2 linked regions of the Oryctolagus cuniculus genome follow. The main gene of each other region encodes a partner of the protein of the gene in region 2 in a complex. Links are inferred from orthologs where the notes say so. Each region holds a gene or a part of one and is shown on either strand. Other genes may lie near its edges.

The links. The genes of interacting proteins can lie anywhere in the genome.
Region 1: the proteins of RAB8A (region 2) and RILPL2 are in contact, whole or in part, in a crystal structure (PDB 6SQ2), measured with the Homo sapiens proteins. The link is inferred for Oryctolagus cuniculus from reciprocal best matches to the Homo sapiens genes RAB8A and RILPL2. Residues at the interface, in NP_005361.2 of Homo sapiens: Ile41, Gly42, Ile43, Asp44, Phe45, Lys46, Ile47, Lys58, Trp62, Phe70, Ile73, Tyr77; in NP_659495.1 of Homo sapiens: Leu135, Leu138, Arg139, Leu142, Gln143, Arg145, Asn146, Lys149, Ser150, Leu153, Glu157.

Annotation. Positions count from the first base shown.
Region 1 is NC_091452.1:5,917,663-5,925,094, reverse strand, and holds the start of RILPL2 (RILP-like protein 2), read right to left. Parts: upstream 5,024-7,432; 5' UTR 4,915-5,023; coding exon 4,588-4,914; intron 1-4,587. UniProt on the Homo sapiens protein: Involved in cell shape and neuronal morphogenesis, positively regulating the establishment and maintenance of dendritic spines. Plays a role in cellular protein transport, including protein transport away from primary cilia.
Region 2 is NC_091447.1:64,695,073-64,702,356, reverse strand, and holds the start of RAB8A (ras-related protein Rab-8A), read right to left. Parts: upstream 4,440-7,284; 5' UTR 4,392-4,439; coding exon 4,268-4,391; intron 883-4,267; coding exon 822-882; intron 1-821. UniProt on the Homo sapiens protein: The small GTPases Rab are key regulators of intracellular membrane trafficking, from the formation of transport vesicles to their fusion with membranes.

The DNA of each region.
Region 1 (7,432 bases), on a different chromosome or scaffold from region 2:
GTGTCTATTACAATGCCATCTGTGTGAAAAATGGGAAATAGTCGTATTTGTTATTTCTGCTTAAAGAGCCTTTGGAAGGATACATAAGAAATCGATCATTTAAATTCTGTAAGGATGGGGAACTTGGTGGCTTGGGCAGAGAGAGATAGGGTGGGTAATTTTCAAAGCAAAAACCCCTTTTGAACTTATTCTTTTTTAGTTTATTTTTTAAGATTTATTTATTTATTTGAAAGGCAGAGCATGAGAGAGAGAGAGAGATCTTCTATTTGCTGGTTCTTTTCCCCAAGAGCCAGGGCTGGGCCAGGTTGAAGCCAGTAGCAAGGAGCTCCATATGGGTCTCCCACGTGGGTGCAGGGGTCCAAGCACCTGGGCCATCTCCCGCTGCCTTCCCAGGCACACTGGGAACTGCACTGGAAGTGGAGCAGCCGGGACTTGAACCGTGTCACTCAGATATGGGAAGTGAATGTCCCAAAGGTGATGTAACCACTAAGCCACACGTCTGCTCCTGAGAGACAGGTATCACCTCACACTCATCAGGAGGGGCCCTGTCCAAAGAACAGAAAACAAAACAAAACAAAACAACCCACGAAGAACAGAAAACAACCACAGCCCTGGGCACTCGCCCGGGAGTGCAGGTGGCGGGGCCGCCGTGGAAAGGAAGTGTGGCCTCCTCCCACCAGGAAACAGAACTCCTCCTTGATCCAGACGTCCCACTGCTTCCCATGGCCCCAAAGCACCGAGAGCACGGACATGAACAGACGCTTCTCGGGAGAACCGTGTTCAGGCAGGGCCGTTCCTAAAGGCCAAGGGGGGAAGCAAGCCCAGCACCCTGGGCTCCCAGCACAGGACAAGGGGCGAGACCTGGTCTCGAGGCCGGCGGGCCATTACTCAGCCCTACCAGGGAGGGGATTCAGACACATGCCACAGCACAGATGGGCTCTGGAGGACCTATGTCAGGTAAACAGGCCAGTGCCAGCTGGACAACGATCCCACGACCACATCTCTGTGTTAAATTCTTAAAGACGCCAAGCAGAGCTCAGGGACCGGCACTATGGCACCGTGGGTTAAGACGCCACCCCGAGGACGGAGAATCCGTTTCCGATCCAGCTCCCTGCTAATGCGCCTGAGAAGGCAGCAGAGGACGGCCCAGGAGCTTGGGTTTCTGCCAAGGATGGAGTTCCTGGCTCCTGGCATCAGGCCCGCCCAGCCCAGGCCACCGTGGCCACTTGGGATGTGAACCAGTGGATGGAAGACCTTTCGTTCTCTCCCTCTCTTTGAAAAAAGAAAGGCAGAGCTCAGCTGTGTGCACCTGCTTTCAGAATGCCCTGGGACGGCTGCCGGCCAGCCTCACTCTGAGACGCCCAGATGCAGACTCCGCTGTATCGATGGATTTTACCCTTGTGTGGATTTTGTCTCCACGCCAAAGCAGCTGTGAACCTGACTGGGGGACACACAATGAAGGTGCAGTGGGTGCTTCCCTTCTGTGTGTACGCCACTGAGGTGGTGAGTCGACTGGCGGGAAAGAGCTGAACACCTTCGTGTGGTATGATTTTAAAAATTCAGCTTTGTATCTCAGTAGAATGTGTGGTGAAGCAATGGTGGTTGATTAAAAGAAGAAAGTAAAATATAGAGGCTGGAGGGGCTGCGGGAGGCGCAGAAGCTGGGAGTTGCTATTCAATGGCTACAGTTTCAGTTTTAAGAGAAGTAAAGGTTCTGGGGATGATGGTAGTGATCCCAGCACAACACAACGAGAATGTCCTGGGCCTGTGGCCCCTGCATTCCACATGGGCGCCGGTTCGAGTCCAGGCTCCCTGCTAATGTGCCTGGGAAAGCAGAGGAAGATGGCCCAAGTCCTTAGGCCCTTGCACCCATGTGGGAGACCAGGAAGAAGCTCCTGGCTCCTGGCTTCTGCCTGGCCCAGAGCTGGCTGTTCTGGCCATTTGGGGAGTGAACCAGTGGATGGAAGACTGCTGAACTGTGCACACACCAGCGGCTGAGATGGCGAAGCTCATATGAGATGCATTTTACCACAGCCAGAAAAGAGAGCGCAACAGAGAACGAGGTGTGTGTTCACTGTCAGTGGCACTGACCTTCCTTCTCTTTAACTCGTGCTGTCTTCAGACCGCGGTTTGGGGAGAAAATGTGCCACCTCATCCGCTGCCTCCCACAGTCGCCACGCACGGGAAATGACCAGGCCCCGGGCAGACCACACAGGAAATGACCTGGCGACCCGGCCCCAAGGGCTGCCTCCACCTCCTCCTGCCAGGGCACCGGGGCGAGGGTGGCGCTGGACGCAGCCGCACCTTCCTGGACAAGCATTCAACTTCTGTGGCCTCTGCAAAGCCAGGCTGCTAGCCATGAGCCTCGGGCACCCCACAGGACAGATGCCGCAGCAGAGGCCCACCCACGAGTACCAGTGTCGGCCTGACTCGGGGCAGCCCCTGAGGACGCCCACGCTCCCCTGGGACACTCAGGGACCCCACTCCTGTTCTCTGCCGCCTCTCACGCCCACTGCTGGGTCTGCACCTCTCCTGCTGGGTGGCAGTCCACGAGGGTAGTGGCCTTGTCCAGCTCACCTGCATGCCCCGTGCCTGGCCTACGGCAGCTCCCTCACCAAACACCAGCACAACAGACAGGGCCCAATGTCACGGAGCAGTGAAGGCAGAATCTGAGTTCACACCCTGACCCCCGTTTTCCCAGCAGTAAGTCCTCATGCAAATTAACAGTCACCAAAGCACAGTGAGTTCAGCAATGGGGTGGGTTGAAGCGACACAGTCCACGTCCGGGAGCTGCTCAGAATCCCCACCTGTGACTAAGAGATCAGTGAAACTCACAAGGTGTTACAATTCAGAAGAAAAACCACAACAGCCTGCTGCAGTCCTGGCTGCTCTGCTTCCGATGCAGCTCTCTGCTGATGAGCCCGGGAAGCAAAGATGGGTGAGTGCTTGGGCCGGCCCCGCAGCTGTGAGCGTTTGTGGAGTGAACCAGTGGATGAAAGATCTCTCTCTCTCTCTTTCTCTCTGGAATTCTGGCTTTCAAATAAATAAATCTTTTTTTTTTTTTTTTTGAAAGGCAGAGTGGACAGTGAGAGAGAGAGACAGAGAGAAAGGTCTTTGTTTTTTGTTGGTTCACCCCTCAATGACCGCTGAGGCCTGCACACCACGCTGATCTGAAGCCAGGAGCCAGGTGCCTCTCCTGGTCCCATGCGGGTGCAGGGCCCAAGCACCTGGGCCATCCTCCACTGCACTCCCTGGCCACAGCAGAGAGCTGGCCTGGAAGAGGAGCGACCGGGACAGAATCCAGCGCCCCGACCGGGACCGGAACCCGGTGTGCCGGCACTGCAGATGGAGGATTAGCCTATTGAGCCACAGGGCTGGCCAAATAAATAAATCTTTAAAAAAACAAAAAACAAAACTGGGGCCGGCACTGTGGCATAGGGGGTAAAGCCTCTACCTGCAGTGCTGGCATCCCATAGGGCACCGGTTCTAGTCCCGGCTGCTCCACTTCCAATCCAGCTCTCTGCTGTGGCCTGGGAAAGCAGTGAAGATGGCCCAAGTGCTTGGGTCCCCGCACCTGTGTGGGAGACCTGAAAGAAGCTCCTGGCATTGGCCTGGCACAGCCATTTGGGGGGCTGAGCCAGCGGGTGCAAGACCTCTCTCTCCATCTCACTTTCATTTTGTCTGTAACTCTACCTTTCAAATAAACAAGTCCTTATTTATTTATTTATTTTTAAAAAGGAAGTGGAGCAGCCAGGACTGGGACAGGCACCCATATGGGGTGTGGGCGTCGCCCCACTACACGTCGCCCACCGGCCCCAGCTTGCTGGCTCTTGACACACTTCATACACCAGTACAACCACATCTGCAGATACGGAAGTTTCTAGCTGTCCATCAAGTGCCCGCTTGCTCCTTCCCCTCCCCCCTTCTCTAAAGATTATTTTGCCGGCTCTGAAATTTTCTATGAATGTATGGGTAGTTTCTCCTTTGTGCCTGGCTTCTGTATGTCAATGTAACATCCGGGAGATCCCCCCATACCGCACCCGTACTCCCTTCTTTTCTTAAGAAAAATCAAAACATGTATGGGCGAGAGCGAACACCTTCCTAAATCCCTCAGACACCCAGGGCTGGCCCAGAAACTGAATCCAGGACTCCCAAGCGGGCGGCAGGAGCCATCACCACTGCCTCCCGGGTCTGCAGGAACTGGGGGAGCTGGGAACCGAACGCAGGCACCGGAGGGAGGGCCCGCGGCGGCTTACCCGCAAGCCCGCACCCTCAGGGCTCCCCTTGTGTTTCGTTGCCTGCAGCACTCCGCTGCAGGTGTGTGCACGCGCACACACGCACCCTACACACCTGCTCTGTGGCCACGGGCACGCGAAGGTCTCCAGGTCAAAGGTTCTCAGCGTGCAATGTGTCCGCATCCCCCGGACTTGCAGGCTGCGCGGACCTCGGACCCCCGACCTGGGACGCTCAGTCTGTTCTGGGTGGCCCGACCACCGGCGGGGGACGCTTCTGGGGGTCTCTGGCCAGGAAGGAAAAGGAGCGCCCCACCCCACCCCACCCCACCCCGCGCAACCCCCGGCCCACTCACCTCCCCGCGAGCCGGGGGCAGCTCCCGGCGCAGCCCGGCCACCTCCGCCCGCAGGCTGTCCCGCTCCAGGCGCAGCGCCTCCGCCGTCAGATTGCCCTCGCTCACCAGCGCCTCCAGCAACTCCAGGACGCGCACGATTTTGAACTGCAACTGCGTCACCCGGGGGTCGCTGCCCAGGGCCATCAGCTCGCGGCCCACCACGTAGGAGATGTCGTACACGTCCTCCGCGGTCAGCTGCGAGGGGCTCTTCCCCAGCGCCCCCTCGGGCCCGGCCTCGTCCCCCTCGCCGTCCTCCTCTTCCTCGTCGCGCACTGGGGGCTCCTCCATGGCCGTCCGCCCGCCCGGACCCCCGCGGCCTCCGGCGCTGCGCTCCGCTCGCCTGCCAGACTCCGACTTCCTCCAGGCACCGAAAACTTTCCGCGGGGCGGAGACCCTGCCCGCCAATCGGCGCGGCCCGGGGGTGGGTCCGCGCGGGGCGCCGCTCGGGCCGGACGCTGGGCGCGCGGCGGCGTGCGCCCCACGGCGCGGTCCGGAGCGCGCGGGACGCGGGCGCGGCGGGGAGCCGAGCGCGGACTACGGCGGCCGCCCCCGCCCCCGCCCCGCGAGCCGCGCGCGGTGCGGGGAAGCCGCGTTTCCACGGCGACGCGGGCGGAGTTTCCACGCCCTCTTGCGCGCGCAGGCTTTCCAGCCGTGCGGTTTGCTGCCCCGCGACTACAGGTCCGGGTTTCTGGTGCAGGGCTATTTTCTGAGCGCAAGGATGGGGGTGCGCGAAGCTCCCGGGCTTGGGAGCCCCGGCCAGGGTCAGCAGCCCCGGGGTGCGGCCGCCGTGGGCCGGGTTCCCCCACGTATCTCACGCCGTGACCGTGGCGAGCCCCCGGGCCTCAGTGTACGGCTCTGTAGAATGGGGGCAGCGAGGAACCTGGGAGGTGACCGGATCGTGCGTGTGGTCTGCCAAGCACTTAGAAGCAGCCGGCGCCGACCCGAGCCTTCATCGTTTGCTTCCTCCAGCCTGGGGGGCTGCGGGTGTGCGCCGCAGAGGAGGAAGCAGAGGCGGCGTGGCTGGCAGAACCCGGGTTCTTCAGGTGCGACTGGAGTTTGTCGTAGGCAGAAAGCTCAGCCCCGGGGCGCGTCTGTCCCCGCTTCCTTCCTGGGAGGCGCACGGGGTTTTCTCCACACCCAGGTTCTGGGGGCGCAGTGGAGATGGTCCAAGGACAGGTTCTGGGGGCGCAGTGGAGATGGTCCAAGGACAGGTTCTGGGGGCGCAGTGGAGATGGTCCAAGGATTAAACAAAACCAAAAGCAACGTGGACGAACCAAACACATAGCTTTCAGGGCAGACAGCACTGAGATAAAGTGCAAGACTCACCCTAGGTCAGTGTGTGTCCATCAGTGGACCGTGACCCAGCCAGGTGTGAGTGTCACCCCAGGTCAGTGTGTGTCCATCAGCGGACCGTGACCCAGCTGAGTGTGAGTGTCACCCTAGGTCAGTGTGTGTCCATCAGTGGACCGTGACCCAGCCATCCAAAGGAAGGAAGGAATTAAATCCAACCCCCCACACACGCGCACGCCGTCAAATGGCATTCAGTAAGGGCACCAAGACCACTCAGCGAGGGATGTATTTTCAGTAAATGATCCCGGGAACACTGGAGGTCCACATGCAAAAGAATGGAGTTGACCCTCACCTTATACAAACAAAACAAAACTTAAAATGAATCAGATCAGGATGTAAGAACTAAGAAGACCTCGGGGAGACGCTTTGTGATGTGAGATTCGACAGCGAGTCCAGGGATTGACTCCGAAAGCACAGGCAGCGAAAGAAGAGTAGATCCAGGTGGTTGGGGCGCTGGGTGGGGCGCCTGCACCCTGCACCTGGGTGCCCGAGTTCAAGCCCCGGCTCCGGATTCTGGCTTCCTGCTGATGCGCACCCCGAGAGGCAGCAGGAAGTGACTAAACAGCTTGGGTCCCTGCTAACCACTAGGAAACCGGATGAATTCCTGAATCCTGGCCCAGCCAGATATCTGGGGAGTTAGCCAGTACATCATAATCTCTCTCTCTCTTACTCTGCCTTTCAAAGAAATATACTTTAAAATCAACCTGTGGGATAGGATAAAATATTGCAAATTGTATCTGACATAAACATAGCATAAAGAACTACAACTCAACAACACATTGCAAATAATCCTATTAAAAATGGACAAAGGGCTTAGGTAGAAATTTCACCAAAGATGTACAAATGGCTAACAAGCATAAGAAAAGATGCTCAACACCTCTCATCATTGGGCAAACACAAATCAAAACTGATATGAGGAGGTGCCAGCGCTATGGCGTAGTGGGTAAAGCCATCGCCTATAGTGCTGGCATCCCATACGGACGCTGGTTCTAGTCTTGGCTGCTCCACTTCCGATCCAGCTCTCTGCTATGGCCTGGGAAAGCAGTGGAAGATGGCCCAAGTCCTTGGGCCCCTGCACCCATGTGGGAGACCCAGAGGAGGCTCCTGGCTCCTGGCTCCGGATCAGCGCAGCTCTGGCTGTGACAGCCAATTGGGAAGTGAACCAGCGGATGGAAGACCTCTCTCTCTCTCTCTCTCCTCCTCCTCCTCCTCCTCCTCCTCCTCCTCTCCTTCTCTCTGTATGTAACTCTGCCTTTCAGATAAATAAATCTTTTTAAAAAATCGGTATGACACACCACCTCGTGCCCATTTGGATGCTATGGTAGGAGCCAGTGTCTGGTTGGGACTGCGGTCCTGTGTCACACTGGAGGGCCTGGGGTTCTGTTCCCAGCTCCAGCTCCTGATGCCTGCCGCCCATGCGGGACACCGGGTTGTGTTCCTGACTCTGGCTTCCTTT
Region 2 (7,284 bases):
CCCTAATTCTATGGGGCAGGGAAGTCACCCTCAGCTCTGAGGGGTGGAAGTGGGTCTCCCCAACTGGGCTTGGCCTCAGCTGAATTTCAGTTCAGGGTATGTGTGTGTGTGTGTGTGTGTGAGTGAGTGTGTGTGTGTGTTGGGGGACTGGGTTTCAGGTCTGCATGCCAGGAAACGAGGCTTGGGCTTCCCCAGGAGAAAAAAGAGGAAGTGCTAGTAGACCTTTACACTCTAGTATGAGCTGATGGACTCCAAAGGAAAGGTGCAGTCAGGGCGGCTCCGCACCCGGGCACAGACCTGGACTTTGTCCGCATCAGAGTGCTGGGCCTGGCTTGGAATCCCAGCTCTGGCTCCTGACTCCAGCTCCCTGCTCATGCAGGGCCCCTGTGAGGTAGCAGATGATGGCCTGGGTCCCTGCCACCCATGTGGGAGACCTTGGATGGAGTTCCTGGCTCCCAGCTTCAGCTCTGGCATCTGGGGAGTGAACCCACAGACGGGAGTTCTGTCTGTCTCTTGTCTCTCAAATTAATCTCAAAAAAAAAACACAAAAAAACAAAAAACAACACAGAAGGTTGAGCTAAGCGGGCCTGGGGTGATGTCCCCAACAGGTGTGGACACAGTCCCCCGGGCCACAGCAGCAGCGCACAGGTCCCTGATGGGGAGAGCACTTGAGAGTTTTTGAAGACAGCCTGAAGGCAGCCCTGGGCACCAAGAGATGAAGGCCAAGGTCACGGGGTGTGGGGGTGGGGAGGGGCAGGCACCAAGGGCTCCTGGCTCCAAGCGCTCGCCGGGTTCAGAGGCTGCCCCAGGGCACCACTTACCATATCTGTAGTTTAATTCTTTTGCCATCGAGTTCTATGGTCCTAATTTTAAAGTCGATTCCTGAAATAGAAAAGAATAAAAGAAGACCCATCACGGTCAGCCCATTGTCCCGGGTGCTGTCTGGGGGCGGGGTCAGCCAACCTATGTTTCTGGGGGAACGGTCACCTGCCTCCGCTTGGGGGTTCACCTGCCTGCTGTTGGGGATGTGTGCCCTCTGCCTCCTCCCCAGCAAGTCTGGAAGCATCTGGAGACTCTCCCCTTTCACAGAACGGGGCGCCTGAGGCTCTCAGAGCCGACGGGAGCTGCCCAGAGTGACAGATGGTGGGCACACCCAGGAGCTCAGGCTGCCAACGTCTTTGGTCTCCTCCCTTGCCAATGCCGCCAGCCGTGCCTGTCTCCCTGTCCCACACGGCCCTGCACGGTGCTCCATCACACACCCCGAGGCACCCAGGCCATGTCCTTTCTTGCCCCAGGGCCTTTGCACATGCCAGTCCCTCTCTGCCCATCAGCTGTGCTAATTTCTCCTCCCCCGGGGTCACTTCCCAAGACACTGTCCTGACCTTACCTCCTCCTCCTTCCCCACCTCCTGCTTCATTCTCCTTTGCCAAGGGTGCCTTTGCGGGGCCCTCAGAGCCGGCACCCCAGTGCTCTCCTAACCAGGTCACCAAGCAAACCTCTGCTCCAGACCTTTCTGTGGGTCCACCGGCCGGTGACTGGACCAACCCAAAGTGGAATACTGCCCAGCCACAAAAAGGAACAAAGTGCCCACACTCGCTGCAGCAGGGATGCACCCTGGAAGCCATGATGCTGAGCGAGAGAAACTGCACGCACCAGGCCACACCTCTTCTACCTTGTGACAGAAATGTCCACAACAGCAAGCCCACAGACACCGGGCGTGTGTTCGGGGTTGCCGGGGGCTGGGGAGAGTGGGAGACTGGGGATTGGCGGAGGAGGGTGGGGGTTTCTTCCAGCATGACCAAAATGCAAAACGGATTGTGGTGAGTGCAGAAAAGCACCCCTGAATTGTACCTGGTTGGTGGGTGACACCGTACGGTACCCCATTATCTCACTGAAGCTGTTACAAAGGGGCTGGTGCCGGCATCCCGGATGAGCGCCGGTTCAAGGCCCAGCTACTGCGCGCTTCCGATCCAAACACCCTGTGGATGCGCCTGGGAAGGCAGCAGCCAAAGACGGCTCAAGTGCCTGGGGCCCCTGCCACCCACATGGGAGACCCGGATGGAGCTCCAGGTTCGTGGCTGCAAACCCAAGCGTGCACTCGAACTCTGCCCATTAGCAACTTTGCCAAGGCAATGGGCTGCACGCAGCTTCCTTGCTGCTGTCACAGGGACAAAACGCCCAGCCTCGTGCCGTCGCTACCTCCCCTCCTGATGCACCCGAGCCGGCTCTGAAGCCCTGGCTCCAGTGCTGATGCCCAGATGTCCGTGGAAGGCGGCTGGCATGCCACAGAGCCACAGGGTGTAGGTGGCCGCGCGTGGTGAGGGAGGCACTTGCACAAACATCATCCGTCTCGCAGAAGGCACGGAGCGGGGTCCCCGAGGAGATGGCGGGGACGGAGCCAGGCTGGTAGAGAATGGATCGCAGGGAGCCGCAGGGCCAAGTTCACACCACAGATGATGGATGGAGCTCCTAAGAATGGGCCTTGGCAAGACGTAACCCCAGGGAAGCAAATGAACAGCCATTCAATCCCCGATCTATTAAGAAAACCCAGAGGGGCACTCGATACCAATATCCAAGGGCTCTGTGCCTGAGTTCTGTCTCAGGGATAAAGCAGTCGGGCGCGGATCCTTTGCACCTCCTGTCACTGGGCTGCACAAACTCAAGATGCACTGCTCAGTCGCCTGAGCCCTAGAGCAGCCCTCTGTCCTGCACTCCTCCTGGGTTCTAGGAACACGCGAGGTTCAATTAGCAAGCGCACACTTTACGAGGCCCGTTAACTCCAAGGTCATGGTTGAGCAAAGCCTAGAAGCCAGAGCCCCGTTAAGGCGGCTTCAAATGTAACAGGAAGAAGACTGGTGTGGCAGGACAGGACAGGACCCTGGCTCCCGTGCCACCTCCCGCCACGCGAGGCGACTCCAGGAACCAATCGGTCTCCCCCAGATTGTCGCTCTGGGCCACGGGCGGCCGTTCATTCATTGTATGGAGTTCTAATCTGAAGACACGGGGCTCAGAGAGGGGTAGTGCTTGTTCCAGGGCAAAGAGCAACAGGAAAGCAGGCATGGTGACCTCCAGCATGGTGGAGTTCCGGGTGATAATGAGATGTGGCTCAAGTGACATGGTGGTGGTGGCAGTGGTGGGGTGGGGTGGGGTGGGGGGAAGCCATTCCCTAAGTTTCCTCAGTCTGGGGTCAACCCCTGGACTGGGTGACTGTCCCCTCTGCTTCCTGAACAGGGCTACCTAGCTCGCAGGCCACTGTGGGACGGCTGTGCCTCCCGGGTCCAGCCTTGTCATCGTGGGCAGGGGCTGGCTTTTGTGGCACGGTGATGAGAAGTCAGCAGGGCCGACAGAAAAAGACAAGTGGATTCCGCTCAGCCGCCACGTGGGGTGGCCCAGCCGGAAGCGCTGTTCCCTCAGTGGGACAACCACGGAGTCCTGGGCCCTGTGATAGGGAGTGGGGTGCTGTCTGTGGCTTCTCACGGAGCCTTGTATCTTGCATCTCCTTGGGGGAGGGGATGACAGGTCCCTGGGCGGGCAGCTGTCACTCACTGGGGCTGTCACCCTTGAGTGGGATAGAGGGCGGGGCAGGGTAAATGCTCCTCACTCTCCCTCACGATTCCAGGGCCAGGGAGGAGGCTCAGTCCTTAAAGTCCAGTCCCAGGGGAAAAAGCAGGAGAGAGAGGTGGGGGTCGGAGTGTTGCTCCCAAGTGGCTCCTCTGGGCTGTCAAGACGCATCGAGGTTCAAGTCTCATCCGTGCCATTTATTCTGCAGGTTGTGTGACCTTGGACAAGTCCCCCGGCCACCCTGAGCCTCAAATCCCGCATCCGCGAAATGGGTTCGTGACAAACACCTTAACTTGCAGCCCCAGGAGGGCGCGATCACGCAGCTGGCAGAGCGCAAGTGCCCCAGCATCCACTTCTGTACGACCGACCCCTCCCACAACGCCCACAGATGAACTTGGCTTGGCAAGGGGCTGCGAGGACGGCACGAGAGGATGGGCGCCAAAACCCCAGCCCCGGACCGACACTCCCGACGGAGCGGGCTGAGAGGCGGGAGCCTCAGTCTACCCACTCGCCAAACAGGCACTGGTCCCCAGCACCACCACGGCCCGGGAACCCGCGAAGCGCGGCGGAGCCAGCTGCTCGGCTCCCTTCAGACCCCCTGAGAGCCCGCTGCCCCTCGGCCAGGGTCGATGCCTCAGCCCCAGCCCCTCAGGGGCGCGCCCGGCCCGGGCCTCCGGCGCCCCCGGCCGCTCCCCAGCCCCGCTACCTATGGTGGAGATGAAAGTGGAGTTGAAGGCGTCCTCGGAGAAGCGGAACAGGACACAGGTCTTCCCCACCCCCGAGTCCCCGATCAGCAGCAGCTTGAACAGGTAATCGTAGGTCTTCGCCATATTACACTCTCTCCTCGACGGGAAGTGCGGCCAGCGCCTCGCCACTGGCCGCTGGACCCGTCCATCAGCTCCGAGCCCGCCCCTCATTGGCTCCCGGCCCGCCGCGCGTCACCGCGGCCGACGCCCGCCCCCGAGCCCCGCCCGTCGCGGGGAGACCTGAGGAAGGGGCGAGCGGAGCGCGGAGCCGGAAGCAGCTCGAGCGCGCCTCCCATTGGTCGGCGCTCGGGACAGGGCGGGCTGGGATTGGCCAGCGATGAAGAGTAGAGGGGCTTCAAACAGGGACCGGGGCGGGGGTGTGGCATCCCATGTCCCCGCCTCCCCCCCCCGCCTCGGGCTCTGGGGAGGCCCCGCCCCGCCCTCTGAGGGGAAGGGGCGAGTCGGGAGCGGGGCCAACGGCTTCGCGCGCCGGCAGCCCAGGGGCGGGGCCTGGTGGATAGGCGCACGCGCACTTGAAAGATCGTTGGTCGCCGGCAGAGGGCGCACGCACGTGGAGGAGCCCCTGGGGCCCGCCCTGACGGCTCGCGCAGCCGCAGTAGGCGCCAAGGCGAGCGCGGGAAGGCTGGGTAGCCAGGCAACGCCAAGTGGAGTTTTCCGCGTCCTGCCCGTCAGTGGGAGCCAAAGAGGAAACAGAGAGAGCCGGGAGCTCATCGAGACAGAAATGCAACCCCTCGAGACGGGCTGCGGGCTCTCGGCCAAGAGAAATATCCAGGCCTCGGCGACCTGAGCGGCTTTCCCGCCGCCAGCTGCGCCCTGAGGAGAAATTGGGACGCCTCAAGCGAGACCCGCCCTCGGACCTAATTAGAGGCTGTCCCGGCCACCTTCAGCTTCTAGTGTCCATCCCCCCAGCCTCGTCAGCCTCACACCCAGCCGGCTGTCTGAGGCGGTCAAGTCACCCGCCCGGGGACTCAGGGCGGCGGCAATTCTAGGTCACGTTAAGGAGCGTTGCGTCTGTGCCTGGCGGTGGTAACCAACACTTAAAAAAAAAAAAGTTTGGGGCTGCTCCACTTCTGAGCCACTTCCCTGCTCATGTGCCCCGGAGGGCGGCCAAAGATGGCCCAGGTGCTTGGGCCCCTGCCACCCACGTGGGAGGAGCCAAGCTCCCGGCTTTGGCTTGACCTAACCAGAGCTATCCGCGGATGGAAGATATCTCTCCCTTTCTGTAACTCTCCCTTTCAAATAAATAAATCTTTTTTTAAAAAAAGTTTTATGATAGTTTTGTATTTTTTTTTCTTATGGTGGGAAAACAGGCCCACAGGAGGTTGACTTTCCCAGGCTCTCAAGTGGGAAGTTAGTTTTTGAATTCAAACCACCAAGCATCAGAGAACCAAAGTTGGAACCACTGGGGTTTGTGCCTCTCAGCGATGGTCCAGTCTCTTGTAGGTCACACTGAGGGCATCAGAGAGGCCTGGAGGCTTGCCTAAGGCTCTCTGGAAGATGGCCCTGGCCTCTCCTCCACCCTTCCTAGGCTCATTCTTTTCGCTGACCTCACTCAGGGTTAAGAAAACTTCAGTCAGAGCCACTGACCACTTCATAAGCCTCAGCCTCTGAGGTATTTGACAACTCAACCACTAACTGTGGAAGTGATTTTTTCTTGGTTCTCTCCCTGATTTTATTTCTATTGTGTCTGCTTCCCCATTTCTGGGTGCTGCTTCTTTGGAAGATTTCTATTTGTGCCTTAGATGTTTATGTTCCTCGTGGTTCTGTCTCTGGTCTCAATTTCTGGGTGATCTCATTCAGTCCGGTGGCTTCTAATACCTCCACACTGACGAGTCTCATTTCTTAAGCCATAGCTCACCATCCCTCCATGTCCAACTAGTTTCTTGACATCTACCTTTGGATTTGCCAAAGATAACTTCACACTCACTATGTCCACAATTAATCTCATCTCACATTCACTTACCTGGAGTTACCTTTTGACTCATCTCTCACATCCTGATTTTTCAAGAGTCTTGCTCTTCCACTGCCACAGTCAGGTTGCCACTGGTCTCCCTGGCCATTTTCCCTAGCCTAGATTCCACCCTGCAGTGTGCTCACTCTAACTCACTTAACTAATATTGATCTCAATAAAGATAAAGTCCAAAATCTATACTTTTGAGTATGATACCTCTCACTACCTTGTCCTATTCTCACCCTGTGTTCCACACACACTTTATGGGACTGGGAACTCCCCAAGAGCTGGGACAAGTCAGTTTAACAAACATGGAACATTCATGTTAAGTGCTGAGGTACAAGGATGACTAAAACAGTATCCAGAGACTAGACTACACCCAAAGTGGGTGCAGAGGAGGGGGAAGAGAGAAGTAAAAGAGGAACTTCAATCTAGAAATGGTAGGGCTCACACTGGAGGGAGTTACACTGCCATCGACATTGCTCCCACCTTCCACCTAAGCTGTCAACTACTGCTTAATTAACATGAAGGACATGTTTTAATTGTACTTGAGCGCAAAAAGCTTGTTTCCATATCACATTAATTTTTAAAAAGGTTTTCATACCTCTTTTTGATTTTTCTGCCTCCCTTTCTGGATTGGATCTTTTATCCAGATTATCAAAGCAATTCAGGTAGTGAAACTAGTCAGCTTTGACACTCTCATCTCTCAGATCCCTGCCATCAAGTCGGCTACATTTTAAGATTGCTTCCTTCTGATCACTTCTTCCCTCTTACTGCATGGCAACCACTCTGTGTACTGAAACATCTTCCTGACACCTTCCTGTCTGTACAGGCCACCACCTGAAAATAGGTGCTAAGTGCATTTTCCTAATGTCTTGATGTGTTTACTTCAGTTTGGGTCTCTACTCCTCAGTAAGTTAAATTCTAGCTCTTATCAATTTTGGATCCAGCCAACCGTCCAGCTTTTCTACCTAGGGTACAACACATAGAAAACCTTGTCCGGGC